Drosophila melanogaster: one gene and its partners. The protein of the gene in region 1 binds, or shares a complex with, the protein of each later gene. Each region holds a gene or a part of one and is shown on either strand. Other genes may lie near its edges.

The links.
Region 2: MED16 (region 1) and MED20 share a complex: the UniProt entries of both Drosophila melanogaster proteins name them as parts of the mediator complex.
Region 3: MED16 (region 1) and MED8 share a complex: the UniProt entries of both Drosophila melanogaster proteins name them as parts of the mediator complex.
Region 4: MED16 (region 1) and MED23 share a complex: the UniProt entries of both Drosophila melanogaster proteins name them as parts of the mediator complex.

The regions. Positions count from the first base shown.
Region 1 is NT_033778.4:22,181,148-22,186,392, reverse strand, and holds MED16 (mediator complex subunit 16), read right to left. Parts: upstream 3,256-5,245; 5' UTR 3,183-3,255; coding exon 726-3,182; 3' UTR 501-725; downstream 1-500. Other genes in the region: Vps35 (vacuolar protein sorting 35), read right to left, coding at 73-132; CG11275 (uncharacterized protein), read right to left, coding at 3,864-5,117. UniProt on the Drosophila melanogaster protein: Component of the Mediator complex, a coactivator involved in the regulated transcription of nearly all RNA polymerase II-dependent genes.
Region 2 is NT_033779.5:8,071,260-8,074,524, forward strand, and holds MED20 (mediator complex subunit 20), read right to left. Parts: upstream 1,590-3,265; 5' UTR 1,503-1,589; coding exon 744-1,502; coding exon of another isoform or gene 696-743; 3' UTR 553-695; downstream 1-552. Other genes in the region: poe (purity of essence), read right to left, coding at 1-7, 189-307; Trf (TBP-related factor), read left to right, coding at 1,712-1,866, 1,938-2,457. UniProt on the Drosophila melanogaster protein: Component of the Mediator complex, a coactivator involved in the regulated transcription of nearly all RNA polymerase II-dependent genes.
Region 3 is NT_033778.4:20,325,313-20,328,778, forward strand, and holds MED8 (mediator complex subunit 8), read right to left. Parts: upstream 1,495-3,466; 5' UTR 1,411-1,494; coding exon 652-1,410; 3' UTR 532-651; downstream 1-531. Other genes in the region: tapas, read left to right, coding at 1-18, 77-225, 284-501; CG8929 (uncharacterized protein), read left to right, coding at 2,747-2,822, 3,015-3,466. UniProt on the Drosophila melanogaster protein: Component of the Mediator complex, a coactivator involved in the regulated transcription of nearly all RNA polymerase II-dependent genes.
Region 4 is NT_033778.4:22,887,160-22,894,926, reverse strand, and holds MED23 (mediator complex subunit 23), read right to left. Parts: upstream 6,000-7,767; 5' UTR 5,914-5,999; coding exon 5,875-5,913; intron 5,813-5,874; coding exon 5,719-5,812; intron 5,665-5,718; coding exon 4,700-5,664; intron 4,642-4,699; coding exon 4,555-4,641; intron 4,500-4,554; coding exon 4,297-4,499; intron 4,245-4,296; coding exon 3,868-4,244; intron 3,808-3,867; coding exon 3,633-3,807; intron 3,577-3,632; coding exon 3,088-3,576; intron 3,030-3,087; coding exon 2,703-3,029; intron 2,644-2,702; coding exon 2,420-2,643; intron 2,362-2,419; coding exon 2,279-2,361; intron 2,223-2,278; coding exon 2,075-2,222; intron 2,006-2,074; coding exon 1,348-2,005; intron 1,287-1,347; coding exon 1,146-1,286; intron 1,088-1,145; coding exon 778-1,087; 3' UTR 502-777; downstream 1-501. Other genes in the region: CG3700 (uncharacterized protein), read right to left, coding at 1-144, 210-462; Gmer (GDP-4-keto-6-deoxy-D-mannose 3,5-epimerase/4-reductase), read left to right, coding at 6,168-6,292, 6,347-6,461, 6,520-7,077, 7,134-7,301; asrij, read right to left, coding at 7,394-7,620, 7,679-7,767. UniProt on the Drosophila melanogaster protein: Component of the Mediator complex, a coactivator involved in the regulated transcription of nearly all RNA polymerase II-dependent genes.

The DNA of each region.
Region 1 (5,245 bases):
CAAATTGAAGATAAGTGGATTAACGATTACACATATCCAAGATTCGTAATCTGGGATTGGCGGAGTATTTACCCGGACGTTGGCGGCACTGGGAATCTGGCCGCCGTACGAGGAGGAGCTCCAGGGATACATGGACGTGGGATTTGGACCGGGGGGGCGTTGCTTCTCACCACAGGCAGCCCTCTTTTGACGTCGACAGGGTGGGCACTCAGCACTCGGTTAAGCCTGGACCTGGGGCACTCGGTTCTCTAGGAATTTCGACTTCTGGCGACTACAGGTTGCACCTCGATGCACTTACCATTACTGCAGCGTTAGGGCGAAGTGAAATAAGCCAATTATTCTGAAAATATCTATTTGCAGAGGAGATATCGATTGCCGACAGCCGACAGACACATTGGACGTCCTGATATCGATTGACATGCTAGTGATGCAAGTTCTTCGATATGTTGTTGTTGTTAATATCAAACCGTTAGCAAATACACCAACCACAATTCATAGATAGAGTTAAAAAATATATTTTATTCAAATAAATTTAGTTTTGAAATAGTGAAGTATGGTGGTGACTTCTCTGTGGCTTAAGTTTTTTGAACGAGCACGTCGTGCAAAGAAGAAATATATTTAGTATATTAAATTTCTTGATTTCACTAAAATTGCTGGCAATCATGTACTTTTATTTGAAGCTTAAATCATACTTAATAACTAAGGTCATTGCTCACATAGATTTACTAGTGAACCTGCTTCCAAAAGCCCCCACAGTGGCAGTGCAGCCACTTACTAAACCACGCCTTGAGGGCCGACGTCTTGGCCACTTTGCTGGCGTTATTCACGAACACGAATCCGCAGCGGGCGCATCTCCGAATGTGGCTGGGTCGGGCGCCCAGTTGGAGATTGCTCACGCCATCCTTCACAGAGCTGGCGAAGACCACCTCCTCCGTCTCCATGTCCTGCAAGCAAGTTGGCTCCTCCATGGAGGTGAACTGCAGCTGTCCCGACTTTACGGCCGCGAATCCTTGGGCACTCAGCAGCGTGGTGGGGTTGAACTTGGTGGGCTGGGGAATTAGGAGCTGCTTGGAAAGCAGGCTGCACTCGTCCAGCAGCATTTCGTCCGGTTCTGCAGGATTCTGGGCCAGGCGAGTAAGCAAACGAAACAAGATCACTAGCACATCGATGTTGTCCATCGTCTTGGTGTAGACGGGCAGGCACTGGGTGTTTAACAGGCCCCAAATGCGGATCATAACCAGCAGCTCGCGCAGACTGCTGATGGCCACGATGTCTCGGCTGATATCGTAGCTAGGCCGCTTTCCGGAGAGCTTGGTCTTCATTACCTCCTCGGGCAGACGATGCAGCATGTTGAGTGCCAGGTCGGTGACCCACTGAATCAGTTGCTGTAGACTTTGCAGCATCACCGGCTCCACTGTAAAGTCCTTGGCGTCCAGGTTCAGCATCACGGTGTCCACATCCGGAATGGATTCGGCCAGCTTGATGGCCAAGTTATCGGCAGGTCCTTTATCCTGGAAACCCAGATCAGACGGTCGCAGGAGGCTCTTGAATGTGGTGGATATTGCGTGTAGGATAATGAGATTGTCAAACTCCTGCTGCTGCATGCGGCATATGTTGGACTTGAGGGCCAAAAAATTAGCATAATAAAAGTGCCGCACAAAGGAAGGTTGCCGCGTAAAGTTGTCGGTTAGCTTCTCCACCAGAGCCTCCAGGTTGCCTAGATTAAGGAGTAGCACATCGCTGGCATCGCAACCTGTAACGATGCAATATTCCAGAAGTAGCAAACCAGATCCTCCTTGCTTCGGCAGAGGTGCCTGCATGGCGTAAAGTTGTGCATGGCTATCAAAGATTAGGAGAATTTGGCTGCTAGGTGTCAAGTCGCCGCTAACGAACTTTACTGCTCCACTGGCGTCAGATAACCTATCAAACTGGGTGTGATTAAGCTGCTTCATCGAGTTGGGCTCCAGCACCTGGACGCTGTTGTCCTGCAGAATGGCGTACACTTGGCAAGAGTCCGGCGTTGATACCGATAGTCGTGTAACGCTGATATCCGCCAAGGATGCATTTAGTTGCACTTTGCCCACCTGCTCCCAGCTTTCCGATTGCACGAACTCATTTGGCTTGTTGTTGGCACCTCCTCCACCCTGGAGAAGGGCGTGGACACTTTGGTGACGGCGTGTCAATGTCCATTGCTCCAGTTGGCTGCCAGCACCATCTGGACAAGCGTAGGCTATAAAAATCACATCCTCGTTGGCTATTCGCGTCCATTTTAGGTGACTGATCCGCCTCCCGTCAAGAGGACCCAGAAATATGCTGGTCTGGGACTCGGATTTGATGGCCAAGTGCTGCTCCAGACCCAGTTCGCCCTCCAATGAAAGCGAGACCTTAAAGCATTGCACCAACTGTTGCTGCCAGCCACAGCTGAAAGCGATATTAAGGGCTCCCGATGGACTTGGCGTCATGCTGCAGTGTTCGATGAAGCTGCGCGATATGCCGATGCTGTGGAGCGCGGGTGTCAACTCGACGACCTCGTGGGCAGGACCATCAGCTCCTGCGGCGGATGTCTTTTGGATTGCGGGGAGACTGAAGGCGGCCAGCAGGCCTGAGGAAGTGAGTAGCACGCATCCCTCGCTGGCCACTCCGCCAAATCCGCTGAGAGTGGGCCTCTGCTGCTCCACCCGCTCGAACTTCTCCGCATAGTAGGTGTGATCCTTCTTCAGCGCATTGAAGATCACTCCTTTGCCATTCTGAAAGAACTGTGCTTCTATAATGTCCTCGCTGGGCACGGTGGCGTAATACTGCAGCACCCATAGGTTAATTGACTGGTTCCTCGGCTGCCAGATCTCGACGCGACCGCCGACGTATCCAAGCAGCAGTTGCTCCCCATTGGGACTCCACTGGAGGACGCTGATAAGCGATTTGGAGGAGCACACCTTATAGTATTCCCACGGCGTCACGATGTCGCACACGTACACATGGCTGTTGCTCGCGCCTACGGCCAAACCCGCTCCCGGCAAGGATCCATCGCCGGCATCTCCTCCGTGGGAAGCCGGAAATATGGCGCTCTGGAGGGCGCTAAACGCAACGATGTTCCGTGCGGAGACTGAGCAGAGGACCTTCTTGTGCGGAAAAACGCTGTCCTTGCTGAACTCCTTGCCCTCCACTTTGTACAAAATCGTCATTTTTGCAGCGTAAACAAAAACCAAAGCGGACTATTATTGTTTTGCACCCGGCGTCTGCCAACACTACTCTGTGAAGAACTTTACAGCACTGTTTCGCGGGTGTTTAGCGCTTTTCCACTGCATTTTTGATTCCATTGTTACTGTAAAATGTTTGGTTTTTATGTTTAGATTTAAGATAGTGCTCATTAATATTTTAATTCTGAACAGCAAATAAAGCTTTTACAGCGCAGCAGCTTTAAATCATTAATCATTTAAACAAAAATTAAGTTATTAAATAATAGCCAGTTTCTCACTGTTAATTATTTTACGGTCGCCCCAATTTAAGCAAGAATTATTATGACCAGTTGGCCACACTGTCCCTCGTTCAATTTCGCTTTGTTTACATCTGGTGATTATATTATAGTTTATTGTTTTACCGATTTTTTTTTTTTAGTGGCCGCAACAACAGGTGAGATAAGTTTCCGTATTCGCAGCCAGGACGCCGTTCCCCGATCGAGTTCGATTCGTTCGCCAAACAAAAACGGCTGCAAACCGGCTTTTTATATTTATCAGCAGACGTCTTGTGTTTGAAGCGATATTACTCACAGTTTATTGAACTCTGAGGCAGCGTACATTAACTTAGGGCAATAAATACATACACGTCTTACGGACTAACTAATTATGATATCGCGGCTGAAGTGGCTACACCAGGTTGGCATAGCGCAGTCCCTTGACGAGACTTCCGCTGAAGCTGTCCTCGTCAGTGAACCGAATTCCGTCCGCCTGGCAGGACTGCAGGCTGCACGGATACTCGGCGCCGTAAGCACTGCTGTCCCAGCGGATCTGCAGCTCATAGGTCAGCTCCGGATTCAGCACACAGGCCTCTTCGCGTCGCCAGCCAAGATGCAGGTTGCAGTTGTACTTGGTATTCTGGCTCTGGACAACGTGACTCCATACGGGCGACGTGGCCGGACCCTCGCTTTCAGCGGGCACCTCGCAAAGGTCCAGCCGCAGCGATTCGCGGTACTCCAGCTGCTGGACGTGACCCAATAGGTTGGGAGTCAGCCTGCTGTTCAGGACCAAGCCCATCAAGGAGATAAATCTAGAGCACTTTAGACGCAAGCGAAACAGCGGAGTTTCTGCATCCACTGTAAAGGGCCTGCAGGCCTTGTAATAGCAGCGCTCCACCAAAACCACCGGAGTTAGGGCAGGTGATTCCAAATCACTAGCACCCGAAGCCGCAGGCCAGTCGCTTGTTTTGCCACCCAAGTCGTGCACTACTAAGTCGGCATCGCTGGGACCCAGACCCAACTGCTCGCACTCCTGTCGTGTCCACTCATAAACATACCAGATGAGTAACTTGTGCGGTTCCTTGCACGCCGCTATTATGGCCTTCACACACTCCTTGGACACGTGCACATAGTGCTCCTTAAGGTGGCTCATATACTGTCCATTATTAACACAGCATCGCATGAAAAAGGTCATGCAGACCTCCAGCAACCCGTCGAGGCCCATGCAAACACTTAGCTCTAGAGCGGGCAAGATATTGGCAAATCGCAGCTTGCGGGTGATAACCATCAGCGTGTCGGCGATCAGCTCCTCCAGCAGATACTTCTCAGCGGCGTAGTACAGCTCAATGCAGGCCACCAGCTCCAGGCCATTGTAGTCAACGACGCCCGTGTAGATGTACTCCACCAGCACCTTGAAGATGGCAGAGCTTATGTCGTGGATTTCGATTTCCGGCTCGGGCTCGTTGTTTTGCATGGGACCAAAGAACATTGCCTCGAAAACGGGACTGGCGGAGCTCAGGATGAGCTTGTGGCATTTCACTTGCTCCTCGCACACGTGGAACACGCAATCTGTGTACTTGGCTCCACGGAGCAGCTGCCCGTATCGCCTACCCAGACCGCTGCTCACACTGCCCGGCTCTTTGCGATCCACCGCCGAGATGCTCATCTGCGAAAGGGGCAGAGAAAGGTGGTAGATATTAATGAGCCATTCGAAAACCTGTTTCCAATTTGCCCGTGTCATAGGCGGCCATCAATCATTCGAAGTATAATAGAAACTATTCAGGCGCGGGCGAA
Region 2 (3,265 bases), on another chromosome or scaffold:
ATGTTCGCTATGCAAATATCGGAATAGAGCGTTGTTAGTTCTCGATATTAAAGAATTTTCAAAGCTTTTTGCTATTTCGTCACCGGAGCGGCCATATTTAATTTTGCAAGTCACTTTTTGCACTAGCAGAAAATTTTTCACTACGCCATTCGGTAGGCGAAAAGTTCTAGATGATCGTTTGTACTTACCATCGCGTGATAGCTTTGAGCAAATTAACAACTTCGTTCTTGTTTAAGGCTCCTGTACGGTTAAGTATCAGGGCTTTAACAACGGAATTCCAATCCGTTCCGCCGCTGTGGGCCGACATTATTGTTTAAATAATCTCGTCAATTTGCCCGATAGTACTGAGTACTCGGCCTACTGTGTGGCCAGATTTCATTAACGGTAAAATGCCGTGCGAGCAGGGATACCACACAGCTTTAATCATTATTCCAATCAGCTGTTTTAAAAATACATAAAAAAGTAGTGAATAACCAATATATGAAAAAAACTGTACACTGCACAAAATATATATATATATATATATATAACTATAATATTTTAAACGTATTTGGACAAGCTAATAAATGTTTTGTTTATTCGTCTAAAATATGTAAAGCAAACTAGTGATGCTAGCTTTAAAATAATGATTATTTAATTATTAAATATTAGTGACATATGTATATTTTTTTTGTTTAAATTATCTTCTAAACATCTTAATCGGCTGCAGGCTCATCCGGTGGCTCCAGCTTGACGTCGGCGGATCAGGATCGATGTAGTCCCGCCACCGCCGGCGACATATGCACGTTCGGACCAACCTGTTGGCTACCCGGTCCACTGCCCATACCGCCCATAAGAGTCACATGCTTCCTATAGTTGGTGAACTGCTCCAGGTATTGTTTCACGGTGTCCATTGGCTCAAAGATGTCGTTGTGCTTGGCATGCAGCTGCTGTTGCCCCATTGCCGTCATTATTGTCTGTGGAGCGAAATAGGAGGGAAAGTCCTTATTCACAGCAATGCCGAGGAATCCCTGCAGCATTTCGCGTATCATTTCCCAGCAGTAGGCCAGAATCACGCATGACTTGTACTCGATTTCGATGAGGATGCCCTTGAAGTGCTCCATCATGGTGACGGAACCGAGTTTGATAACAAAGTCACCATACTCGAAACGAGCGCCACGGGACTCGATTTTGGTCTGCTTTTTGGAGGTGAAGGTGTTGGTCATCTTGAGCATGAGCAGATCGAAGATATTGTCGGCGACAATGGCCACTTGTTTGCCGGTGCCATTGTCGATGATCGAGAACGTGGAGGCGGGATACTCGGAGTTGTGCAGGACGTGGACTGCGCGTCCAGGTGCTCCATTGTGCGGCTGTGGCGTCGAGATGAACGTTTCGCAGTCCACCAGAAATTGACCGGCATGTGTGGCGCCCAGGGCGAGCAGACGCTTGCTCAGCTGATCGATTATGTGGGCACCCGATTTGCCTTCGGGTAAGGGATACGGTTGAAGGATAGTTACTCCCATAGTTTATGCAATAATGTCAGCTTTTTAGTTTTATTAATTTTGTTTACAAGTCTTGCAAGCTAAAAGCGTCCAGTGTGACCAGTGCTGACTTTTTAGTCATGAGAAAAGTTAGACAAATAAAAATACCAAACCGGCATACAATTTTCGTCAGCAATAAAATAGGACAACACTGGCCACGTCGCGTGCGGATTTGTTTATAATTTTCGGCAATGCAGTTTCACTTTAAAGTCGCGGACGCTGAAAGGGACAGGGATAATGTGGCTGCGACCAGCAATGCTGCCGCCAATCCGCACGCAGCCCTGCAGCCGCAACAGCCCGTTGCCCTGGTGGAGCCCAAGGATGCACAACATGAGATACGATTGCAGTTGGTTGACCACTTTTCAGAGGCACTTCATGAAATAAATAGAAACCCATTGATACATCCATAACTTGCAGGAATATCGTGGCCACCTTCTCGGTGAACTGTGAACTGGACCTCAAGGCAATCAACTCGCGTACGAGGAACTCGGAGTACTCGCCCAAGCGCTTTCGTGGCGTCATCATGCGAATGCACTCGCCCAGGTGCACAGCGCTAATCTTTCGAACGGGCAAGGTCATCTGCACGGGTGCACGAAACGAGATTGAGGCGGACATTGGATCGCGAAAGTTCGCACGCATCCTGCAGAAGCTGGGATTCCCCGTAAAGTTCATGGAATACAAGCTGCAGAATATTGTGGCCACCGTTGATCTGCGCTTCCCCATCCGCCTGGAGAACCTCAACCACGTGCACGGGCAGTTTAGTTCCTACGAACCGGAGATGTTTCCAGGCCTAATCTATCGCATGGTCAAGCCGCGCATCGTTCTCCTGATCTTCGTCAACGGAAAGGTTGTATTTACGGGCGCCAAGTCGCGCAAGGACATTATGGACTGCCTGGAGGCGATATCACCTATTTTACTAAGTTTTCGCAAGACGTAGTTGTTTCTACACATCCAAATGTTTTTGTTTAGCTTAGTTATATTCCATAACTACAATATTTTTAATATATTTACCTTAACTTTTTTAGTATAAAATGTGAAATGAAACAACTTAATTAATAATTTCCATGGGTAAATTCATAGAAATTGTAAGATTTTATTTTGGCCTTACTAAGCAAATTAATTTTTATTTAAAAAAAACTGTTGTTATTTTAAATAAATTTTTATATATTAATGTCTTGTAATCCATTTCATTCTATTCTTTGAATTAATAATAAATTTGTAAGTAATTTGAATTTTTATACATTTTTGTACCCATTCCTGGAATTTGGGAAAAATATTCAAATCCACAAATTCTGAAGTGTACCAACACATTCCATGAAAAGAAAACACATTTGGATAAACATTACTTTTATTTATTTTCAGGTTTCGTTTATTACAAAAGAAAACACAAGACACTTCATAGAGATTCGATTCGATTCTTATGGTACGGAAAGGAGCGACATTCTTAAGTTGTGTACAAAAATTTCCTTGTTTCTCGCTTAGTAGCTTCATGTACATGGCTATGTGAGATTTGTGTTGGGAATTTATAAACTAATTGTGGTTCATATGAAGGCGTATATACGTATAAAACTTACAAACTATGCAGATTCATTATTTGCATAAATTAATTGGACGGTTTCTTCAACGATTTTCACTTCATTTCGTTTAAAAATGTATTCAAGAGTTAGATAATACAAATTAGATAAATTTCCATTCGATATGCTTGCAAACTTTTGTCAAGATACATTCGCTAATGATTTCTAAAA
Region 3 (3,466 bases), 1.9 Mb from region 1:
CGAAGGCGTATATCATCGGTAAGAACTTATTCAGGTCTTGCAATAAAAACGCAGACTAAATCTGTTAATCTTGCAGCGTAAGTATTCACAAGATTTACGATGAGATTATACACGTGCGTTTCGTCGACGTGGGCGACGATGGAGTAATTGCCTGTGATCAACTGAAAACTCTAAATCCGGAGTTAAGAAAGCTGCCCAAGATGGCATTGCCAGCACAACTTTATGGCAAGTTCAAGAGAACTTCAGCAGTTTGGCGTTAGAACTAAAAACGATCTTCTTTCAGGCATACAACTGACTGATGTAGTATGGAGCAAGGAGAACTGCGTCCGATTCCGGGAACTGTCGCTGGGTCAGAAGTTTATTGGCATTGTGCGGCGAATGACTAAACAAAAGGATGGCGGACGAGCGCTGTGCCTGGAGCTGGTGGACACCTCCACGCCGAAAGATATTAAGCTGCACGAGATTCTCATCAATGAGAAGCACGCACAGCCAGCAACATAAGAAGTCTGAGTCGGAGGAGACGATCCATTTAAATTTGTTCATGTTTATGTTTGCGTAATCCTAGTTTTAGAATTAGGAATATACATATAACTTATTACGACGAAACATTCCGCCAGATGGAACCGATAATAGCTAATAAACTGATGTTTTTTATCGAGAGAACGGATGCACTTGATTTGCGGACTTGATGTTTGTTTTCACAGCCGATGGCGCCTTTCCCAGCTGCTGCTGCACGTTGCCGGGACTCATAGCGGGTCCACCCATTGGCGAGGGTGCTCGAATTGAAGGCGGTACCATCATGCCAGGTCCGGGTCCATAGTTGGTCAGCTTGAGTCCTTTTCCCATACCCACGGCGGCCACCAGGAGCTGTGTGTCGGCCATGCTACTCGTCTGCTGGATGCCGGTGCGCGAAGAGCTCTCGATTTCCCACTCCTCGCGCGCTTTGCTGACCATATCCAGGACGTGGGAGACGACCTTGTTGTATTGAGTGACCTGTTTCATGGCAGCGTCGTTGGTGAGGTTCGCCGCCTTCTGTTCGTTCTGCAGCATTTTCTGTTCCGTAATCGGATCCGGCCGAGTTCTCAAATAGTCTGGAACAATGTCGTGTGAAAAGACTGGCACCCGACCCTCTGTGATGTTGATGAGGGTGTCATCCCGGTCCATGGAGACCAGAAGGGGCAGGACCGTTCGATTTCTTAGCGGCGGACACTGCTCCTTTGCCAAGATTTTCGTCAATCCCGTCAAGTGACTTGAGATAATGGCAAAGTTGTCCAGGAAAGTCGGCCAGTTGATGGTCTCGTACTCTAGCTCAAGTTTTTGGATCATCGAGAGAACCGCCAGCTTCAGGTCGTTCAGACGCTGAAGGACCGTATCCAGCGTCAGCTCAAAAAGCTTTTCGTCGCGCTGCATTTTGGAAACTCCCAATTAAACTATTATTTTTAACTTCAGTCGGATGGACACAAAGTGGAAAGTGTGACCGTGGATCTGCTTATTATCATTTGTTAGTCGGGTGTAATAAAATACTGCAACACCGTACTATCGATAACGTTTGCGATAGCAGCAAACTGGCGTCCACACTACATTCAGATCCTAAAATTAAAATCATATGGTCAATTAAGGAAACTGAACAATAAAAAATGAATTAATGCTCACCAATAACTAATAATTGATCGTTATTATTTGTTTCTGTTTTAATTTAAATAGAACTAATAACTTTTATTTTTGCAATAATTAGCAGAATCGTTAATGCATACTTAAAATAATGTCAAAACAATATGATATGATTTAAATAGTCTAATATATAAAACATTCCCAAAACGAATAGTGTTTTCAACTACGAGCGCCTCTTGAAATAACACAATATTTATTATTAAAATATATAAACTGACTCGAGTTCATCAGACTCTGAACAGTCCTTAGACTATTGAAGCCAAGCCATCGATTGTGCCCCGGCATATCGATACTACCAACATGGCCGTCGAGAAAAATTGAAGTGAACGCAACGCCGTGTTTTTCATTTGCCAATAAAACGTTAACAGCTCACGAAATATCGTAAAGCGTGCCCGCAAACGTCGCCAAATGTAAGCAAATTATTTTAGTGCCTGTTTTACATCGTTTACATAATTGCCAGAGCTGAAATTCGAAATTTAGTTGCTGCCGTCGGGAGTATCGCCAACTTTTGCCTCACACTCTCTCTCTGTCTCGCTCTGCATTCCTCTCGTGCTGACAAGGCAAATATATTGGTGCTGGTGTGAGTGTATGTGTGAAAAATGGAAGAAATTCAAAATGCATATGTGAAAAGATATACGCGCAAGCCGATTAAAAATCGGCTCTCTCGCACGATTTTGATTGGGACCACAGGTCCCCGACCCCCGCGGCGTGATATGGGTTAAATGACAGCCGGAGCGCGTCCGCGATTCTCTCTGCGTTTTCAGGTCTCTCCGCTCTATTCCCATTCTGTATAACTCCGCTCCTGATATTGTTGTTGCTTTGTGTTAGCCATTTCTAATGCTCTCTTTACATGTTTCTATATTCAATTGTAATATATTTGCAGCTTGTTGTGTATGTTTTTGAAATGGTAAAGTGTGTTGTCGCGTTCGCCAAACCGAATCCGAAACAGTAAACCAAACCCTAACCGATTGGGGGTAATAAACATTGAAACCCGAGTACATACATACATATATCTGTCGCGCGATATATATACATATACATAGTTGCCAAAGCGATAGAAATCCGAAATCTCGCGATGGCGTCGCGCAGGCGCGCCGAACTGAATCCAAAACTGCACATGGACAGGCAGCCGACAGCTGCCCGCATAACAGGTACCTGAACTGAAACTTCTACCAACTACCAGCAAGCAACTGCATAGAAGTGGGAAAACCCAATTACCTCGCCGGGATTAGCGATGTCTAAGGGCCCATAAACCCATCAGCCCGTCTTAGGGGCTTCCCGGAACAAAGCACCGCCCACCACCCTGCCAATCGAAGCTTACCTTTTACCTCTCAACCTTGCAGATCCCTCATTACCCGCTGGAAAGCGACGCGAGATCGACAACGTGATGAAGAAGGCGCGCGCCAACACCACCAACGATTATTGGGACAAGAAGCTGATCGAGGCAGAGGAGAAGGATCCAAACCGATGGCGCCACACGGGCTACAAGAAGATGTACATCCAGGGGGAGAGCAGCTCTGGAGAGAGCGAACGCGACGGTCGCGAAGGTCGTGAGGGTGGAGCACCGCCCTACGGTCGTTATCCGCCCACAGGTGGACCGCCGCCAGGTCCACCGCCTCCGTCGCAGCGTTACGGACGCTCTCGTTCGCCGCACTCACGCAGTCGGTCGCGTTTGCGCAAATCGCCACCGCTTTCACCACCTCCGCGTCGTCGTTCACCGCCCATGGCTATGCACAGTGGCATGGATCGCCGTGGTGGACCTCGCTCGCCGCCAATGCCACGATCGCCCAACAAT
Region 4 (7,767 bases), 710 kb from region 1:
AATTGATGTCCGACTTGGACTTGTTGGGCCGATGAGTGCCGATTAGGGCCATGAAGGGAAACTCTTTACCGGATGCCTTTGTGCCGCCCACGATGAAGGGCGTGGACTGGCAGGCGGATCTGACCTCGTTGTATTGCTTGCACTCTAAAAAAAAAAAACGAATATTCAAATTCCATCAATCGAAGGGAATTGTTGCAGTCACTCCTCACGCTTCTCAAAAGGCCTCGTCTGTTCGGCTGGCTTCAGATTCTGGTGATCCAGCGGTATGGGACAGCAGACAATGTCGTTGAACTCGTCGCAGTACTTGACTTCGGCTCCGATCAGGTGCTGGTTGTAGAATATCACTGGACAGTCGGAGGGCGTCAGCTCCTTGCACTCGCCCGTTCCATTGTCGCAGTACTCGGTCACCACGCTGACTGAAGCAATCAGCAACAGAATCTGGATTCCCGGAAGCGCATACATCGCAGTGCTCTGCGATCACAACTGAGAACGGCGCTCGAGGTGGACAAGATCACCAACTACAGGTTATCTACGAAGAGCTTTAAGCTGGGCTTATTAAGTCAAGCTTTTGATTGTAAAGCTGGAGGGAGGACTTGGGCCGACAGCTGTGACTTACAAAAAGTTCCCTTAGTATCTAACTTAAACATATCTGAGAACTGTTTACACATTCAATGGAAAATGAATAATGCAATAAGCGATAAAATATAAGATAATACTACTATAAATTAGGCTTATGTCGTTATGTCAGCTTGAACTGACTTGGGAGTCCCACAAAGTCTAATTGTGGCGCATGTTTTGCATGTGCTGATGCTGCTGCATGTGCTGCATATACATTTGTTGCTGCTGGTTGATTTGCTGCTGCTGCTGTAGGTTGCCACCGCTGCCCAAGGGAACGCTGGTTGTTTGTACTGCGTTGATTTGTTGCTGCTGCATCTGTTGTTGCTGCTGTTGCTGCTGCTGCTGCTGCTGTTGCTGTTGTTGTTGCTGCTGTTGTTGCTGATGTGGTTGCTGCGGCTGCTGCTGATGCTGTGTTTGCATTGGAGACTGCGTTTGGCTGGTTATTGCATTATTGCTGGTATTGTCGTTGCTGAAATTGGAAAAGTTATGTTTAAACCGAAGTAGAGTTTGAATTAAATGGCCCTTACATCTTTTCAGTGTGAATATCCTCCAAGTTAAGGTGGGTTATGAACCTCAGGCGCATTTGCAGCAGGGGCCGTAGCCGCTTAATGATGGCTTCCGATTCGTTCTTAATGATATTACCCACATGTATATACTTAATGTGATAGCTGAAATGATACAAACACATTTGTTTAGTACCCTTTCATGCGATTTTGTGGATTTGCTTACAGGAAATCGCAGATCTGGTCCATGTACTGCAGAGGCTTCGGACCATGATGCTTGTCCACGATCTCAAGAATTTCGTAAAGCAACACGGCTATGCCAGCCACAGCGTTCGGTTTTTCCAACTCTATTCGTTGCAGGAAGGGGCCAAAAACGTGGCACAAATACAGCAATTGTTGTTCGGTTCGCACGCACGGCTTTAGCTTCTCCTTGAGGTACCTGGTCATTGCCGCCAGCTTAAAGGCGCCCATGTGATGGAACACTGAGTGAGCTACTGCCAACACCACGGCGTAGGTCTTTTCTAGCATCGCCTCACGCACTGTCTTGAAGTTAAACAACTCGAAAGCATTGAATCTGTAGGTCCAGTTCAGCATATTGGGTGTGTTGAGCATATCCTGTAGGCGATCGTATATGCCGCTCCAGTAGGGCTCAGGCAAGGCAGCCAGAACAATGCCCACAGCATTAATGTAGCTGTGAATGTCCTTTTGCGGAATAACCGCATATCCGCTTACTATAACATCGATGAGATTGCTGGCCACCAGTGGCGGTGCCACCGGCAGACCCAGCAGCTCCACGCATGTCACATAGAGCGCATGGGTTGGCGCATTCGGGAACTCGTTAAAACGCCAATCGGTGGAGTAAAATACATTCTTCCCACTAATTGCTGCAAAATAAAAGGGGTTACGCATGAATATATGAACACATCATAGTATTTTCCCAAATCCTAGCTTACTGTCTGCAAGTCTCCTGATCAAACTCATATAGTAGCTCAATTCGGGGGTCCACAGCGAGTCTTGGCTTTGCAAATACACCTTGTACGGCTCACTAACACTCCAGTTGGGCGGCCGAATCTCGCTAAAGGCGCTGGTGATAGCGCCAACCTGGAACAACACAGTGTATTAGAAGAAGGGAATATAATATTCATAACAAATCTTACAAGTTTCTTCTTTAGCGCAGGGCGGTCTCGTAAGATTCGCTCATAATAATGGAGGGTGTTGTACAGATATGTTATAGGTCGATCTGCAATTTAAAGGGTAATTTAAAGTTATGAAATTCTCGAAAGCCACTTTTAACATACCGTGAAACTTGTAGAGTATGCTCAGATGATCCAAAATGAAGCCCAATATCTGGTGGACATTTGTAATGGTAAGTTCGATAAATCTGTGCACTACCACATCCAGAACGGGAAGGAATCGCAGACAGACATTGCTGAAGTACACGGGCAGCGGAATCTGTGAAGCTGACTCGTCCAACGCGAACTTCTCTGGATACTTTTGATGGAATGACAAGTGTTTGTCCTGCCTGAGAAATAATAACAACTATGCCTTTGTGCTCTTAACAAAATCAAGTGTCCAACTTACCAGTTGCTCTGCTTCCAGTGATCAGGATTATTGTCCTTGCAGAACTCCTGAACACGATTTCTCAGCTCGCTGGCTTTCAGCAAGAGCAGCTGAATTATGAGAAAGCAGACTTGAGCCTCGTTACCCTCGTGCGTTCGCAGAGCCAGGCAAAGCACAACCCTATCGATGGTCACAACGTTGAACTTCCAAATCATGTTGTTAATGGTGTCGACGCACTTGTGAATAAAGTCGCGGCCATCCGATGAGCTAGCTACCTCAGCCACCAAGTAGTCACAAAATTTACGCAGATGAGTGGACAAGGCTCTCGCGCTTATACCCTCCAAAATTCTAAAAAAAAAGGTATGGTCAGAAAAAATGATTGTGTTTAAATCATAATGTTACGCACTTGTAAGCCACTGGGCTTATGTTCTCCGTCTCCCAAATTATTTTGAACAGAAGGCAAAGGAATAAAGGATTCGTAGTTGGACGCAAGAAGTGCGCAATTATGTCATTCTCGTTGGTCATCGACGTCCAGGTTCGATATTCCTCTTCCACGGCCTTCTTCAACTGCTGCTTGTTCTCCGGAGGTTGGTTGTTCTGCGTAAAGTACTCGTTTAAGGCGGGCGGAAAGCAGGCTAGGGAATGCATGGGCCACGAGTGCGGCGTGTGCTGAATGATGTTGGAAAGGAAGTCCTTGCACCATCCCTGCATTTCATCGCCGCCACCATGTACGTGCATGGATCGAGCTAGCGTAAGAATAAGTACTCTGTTTAGCTCTTCGCTCTCATTAGACGCCACTGCTCCGGGAGATTTGTCGTTAAAGTAACGCGAAAACTGCGGCTGAAACTCGGCGGATCCAATGCTGGTGATCAGACGCAGTGCAGTAGATTCAAAACTATACAAAGGGAAGAACTTAGAAAGAAGTCTATACTCGATAAACGTATAACTAACCAGAGATTGAGCTGCATCTTGTTTGTCTGCGGCACGGAGGACAGAGAATGAAGGAGAGACAGCAATTGGACCCGGTAGTGAGTAGGAACATGGTGCAGCCGGTACGAAAACATCTCCATTAAGGTGTGCAGCATGGCCCACGCATGGTTCTTAAACACTGTTGGCATCAGTTGGCCTTTAGGAGGAAAAAAAACCATAAACATATTGTTTAATCACTTCAACAGGCTGTACTTACTCAGGAATCCCTTTATACCGAGCGACTCGATTTCTGTATAAACCAGAAGTCTGGCATAAGTTTCCAGTAGTGCAGCCGCTGGAACTTGACCCTTGCTTTGGGCCTGTTTTAACATCTGAGTTACGAAGCTGTGGATTAACGACATCTTACTGTGCACCGTCAAGCTGTCCAGAACCGTGACCGAAAAAGTTACGGCTGGGATTTGGCCACCGTTTGGAGATTTTGAAGTGCCATTTAGGGCATCCAGCAGTAGACCCATGGGACGCCCGAAGTACTCCTGATTCGTTGAGTATGCATTGCAGATGAGAATTATGCGGAAGTCGTTTCCTAGCGTCATGTTCATCATGGTGTTAGCCGTGACTAGGTGCTGCAGAAAGCTGGGAATTAAGCAGTTAGTATCTAAACACCAAAGGAAGTTAGAGGTATTACTCGTAGTGGTTTTTCAGTGCAATTGGCAATGGTCTGGTGATGTTCATGTTTTCCACTCGTGCCTTCTTCATCAGGTGAATCCAAACGCAAATGGGTGCCATATGGCGAACCATCGAGGATTTATTGATATCTGGCAGCTTAAGAGGCTCTAGCTCGGGATATAGTAGGTCAAACAATCTGAACACAGGCAGGAAATTGGTGATCTAAAATTAAAAGCGATTAAAAATAAGATCAATCAGGTGGAGAACAGGATCTTACAGGATTTTTCTGTATGCTTCCGGATATAAACTGCAACAGAATCCACATAAGTTGATCGCGACCCTTGCGAAGCTCCAACTTGGAAAGCTATAGGTGAAAAGTAGTTAATTACAAGAAATATTAATTTCATCCACCATGGACCTACCTTTTCGTGGAGCGCCAACACTATGTGCATAAAGCTTACGAACTGAAAGAGCACAAAGTAAATTAGTTGCGAAGAGAGATGCAGCCACATCCACTCGTAGGGCGTGATCTGCTCGTCTGAGGAGTTAAAGCCACTTCCCGCAGTGGCATCATTCGCCTCCGTCATCTCCATGGCCTGCACTATGAGATTAACCAACTGCTCTTCCAGGGCATTGTAGCGCTGCTTCTGATGCTTTTGCAGGTTCAGCATTTGAGAGACCATTTCCCTTGAGTACGGCTGCTCCAAAACGTAGCGGAGTAGGGGCTTCTGCTCTTCGAGCAGCTCTGGCTCGTAGGGCAGGCTACCCTTAAAGTTAAACTTCAGGGTATTGTGGTCCAGTCGCCAGGAGTTCATCATGTGATCGGCATAGCCGAAATGCTCTACGATGGGAAGCATGCTGGCATGTCCAATGATCGAAACCATTTGTGCCGTGGTGCGGAACTCTTCGACAAAGTCGGTCATCAGCCGGTTGAGTTTCCAGTGGTAAGGAAACGGACGCATAATCTCGTTGGCAATAAAGTAGGCGGGCAGCAGGCAATTGTTGCGATCAAAGATGAATCGCAGGATATCCTCAACGGCCAGTAGCTGTGGCATGTAGGTAACGTTGACGTTCAGCGGAAACCATTGTGCCTTGTCGCGGCATACCTTCATGATCTCGCGCACACCCTTGTAGTCCACCTGGACGATCACACGCTTGATCAGCCGGAAGCTCTCGATCCAGAAGGTCCTGTGCTCGAAGTCCAGTTTCTCGCACATCAGCACCTTGTCGCACAGCATCCTGGCGGTGATCACGTGTGCGTCCACCAGCTTCACCAGTGCCGCCATCAGCACTTTGATGTGATATCCGGAGGCACCGGCGGCACGCAACAGGTAGAGCCGAAGCACCTGCTCCCGGTTCTCCTGCGCCACGTTCCCAAAGGCGGTAACTGAAACAGATAGTTTTTAACAATTTTCGAGTTCCAGCAGACGCATTTACCTACCCAAATCATTGGCGAAGCGGGTAGCTCGTTCTTGCTCGGTGTTTGGCTTGAATACAATGACGCTAACGAACGCCTCGTCAAGGGAGTCGACCTTCTGCGAAATGGAGAGCGTGGATGAGTGGGTGATTTTTTGGAGACGCAGGGTTTCACTATTACCAGAAACTCGTTAACGGTGTCTATAACTTGCGTTTCCATATCCATTTAAATTATTTTTCGCATATCCGACACCGCATAAACAAAAACTACCTGGGCACAGTGTGACCAAATGGGGCTTAGTAAAGAATCTAAAAGTGGCTTTTTCTGATAACAAGAAATAGCTAAAGGATTAGATTAAAAACGCCAGGCAGGCAGCACTGACTGATTAGCCGGCATTTAAAGCAGCTGGTCGCATTGAGTCGAAAATTACTTTAGAAACTAATTGACTTGATTTGTGGAATCGCACAAAAATCATGAAGAAAGTTCTGGTTACAGGCGGAACTGGGCTGGTGGGCAAGGCCCTGGAGGCTGTGATCAAGGAGCAGTCCCCAGAGGACGAGCAATGGTTTTTTGCGGGCTCTAAAGATGCAGATTTGACGTAAGTCATGAAGAAATTCAATTGAACGTATCCGTAAACAAATTCTCTCCACAGAAATCTGGCCGCCACGCAGGCACTCTTCGCCCGAGAGAAGCCCACGCATGTCATCCATCTGGCTGCAATGGTCGGAGGCCTGTTCCACAACATGAACAACAACCTGGACTTCTTGGTGAGCTCCTGGTCTCACAGATGATTCCAAAACCCATTTCATGCGAATCCACTTTTAGCGCAACAACCTGCTCATTAACGACAATGTCCTGCAAACGGCACACGAGCAGGGATGCGTGAAGGTGGTGTCCTGCCTGTCCACATGCATTTTTCCGGACAAAACCAGCTACCCCATAGATGAGACCATGGTGCACAATGGGCCGCCGCACCCCTCCAATTATGGTTACTCCTACGCAAAGCGACTGATAGACGTGCAGAACCACGCCTACCACGATAAATATGGCCGGGTGTACACCTCGGTCATTCCGTGCAACATATTCGGTCCCCACGACAACTATAATCCAGAGGTCAGCCACGTTATTCCGGGCATGATCTATAGGATGCACCAGCTGGTTACGGAGAAGACTGACGTCCCCGAAAACGACAAGGTGTTCACCGTTTTCGGAAGCGGCATGCCACTACGGCAGTTTGTATACTCCCGGGACCTGGCGGAGCTGATGATCTGGGTGCTCAGGAACTACGAAAGTGTGGAGCCCATCATCCTAAGCGCGGACGAAGTGCAGGAGGTGACGATCTTCGAGGTGGCCCAAGCCGTTGCAAAAGCATTTAATTTTAATGTGGGTTAAAAAGCGAAATTTGAGACAAGGCAAGATATTAACTTGATTTATTCCAGGGAAGACTGGTCTGTGATACGAGCAAGTCGGATGGACAGTACAAAAAGACTGCGTCTAATGCCAAGCTTCGCTCCTTCCTGCCAGACTACGCATTTACGGACTTGGAAACGGCAATCAACGCCTCGGTTAAGTGGTACATAGAAAACTACGACCAGGCTAGAAAGTAATTGAATATTCCAACCCCAAAAAAAAATGTAAATAGACAACGAATTTTCACAGAACTTTATGCGCGTTTAATGTCCAACAAAATAACAATACCTTAATCAGTCCAGGAGTCGCCGTATTGGTTCTTCCTTCCAGCGGGTTCACTTTGTGCCTGCTCCACGGGTCGCTGTTGAACGGCAACTGGTGGTTCGTAAGGTCGCGAGTATGGACTCTGCTGGTGCTTCGAATACTCTTCTCGGTTCCTTCGTCGCAGGTCCTCGTAAGACTGGCCCGGCTTAGACGGCTCCAAGGGCAACTCTGCCTCCAGCATTGAACCAGCTGCTGGGAAGGAGAATGTACAGAATCATAATAGGGAATGCGAAGAATTAGATGAGCTTACAGTCCAGGGTGGGGCGGTAGATGTCGTCAAGGCCGGACAAAGTAGGGCGCGATTCCGTGTCCAGATTGAGAGAAGTGCTCCTCCCGGGC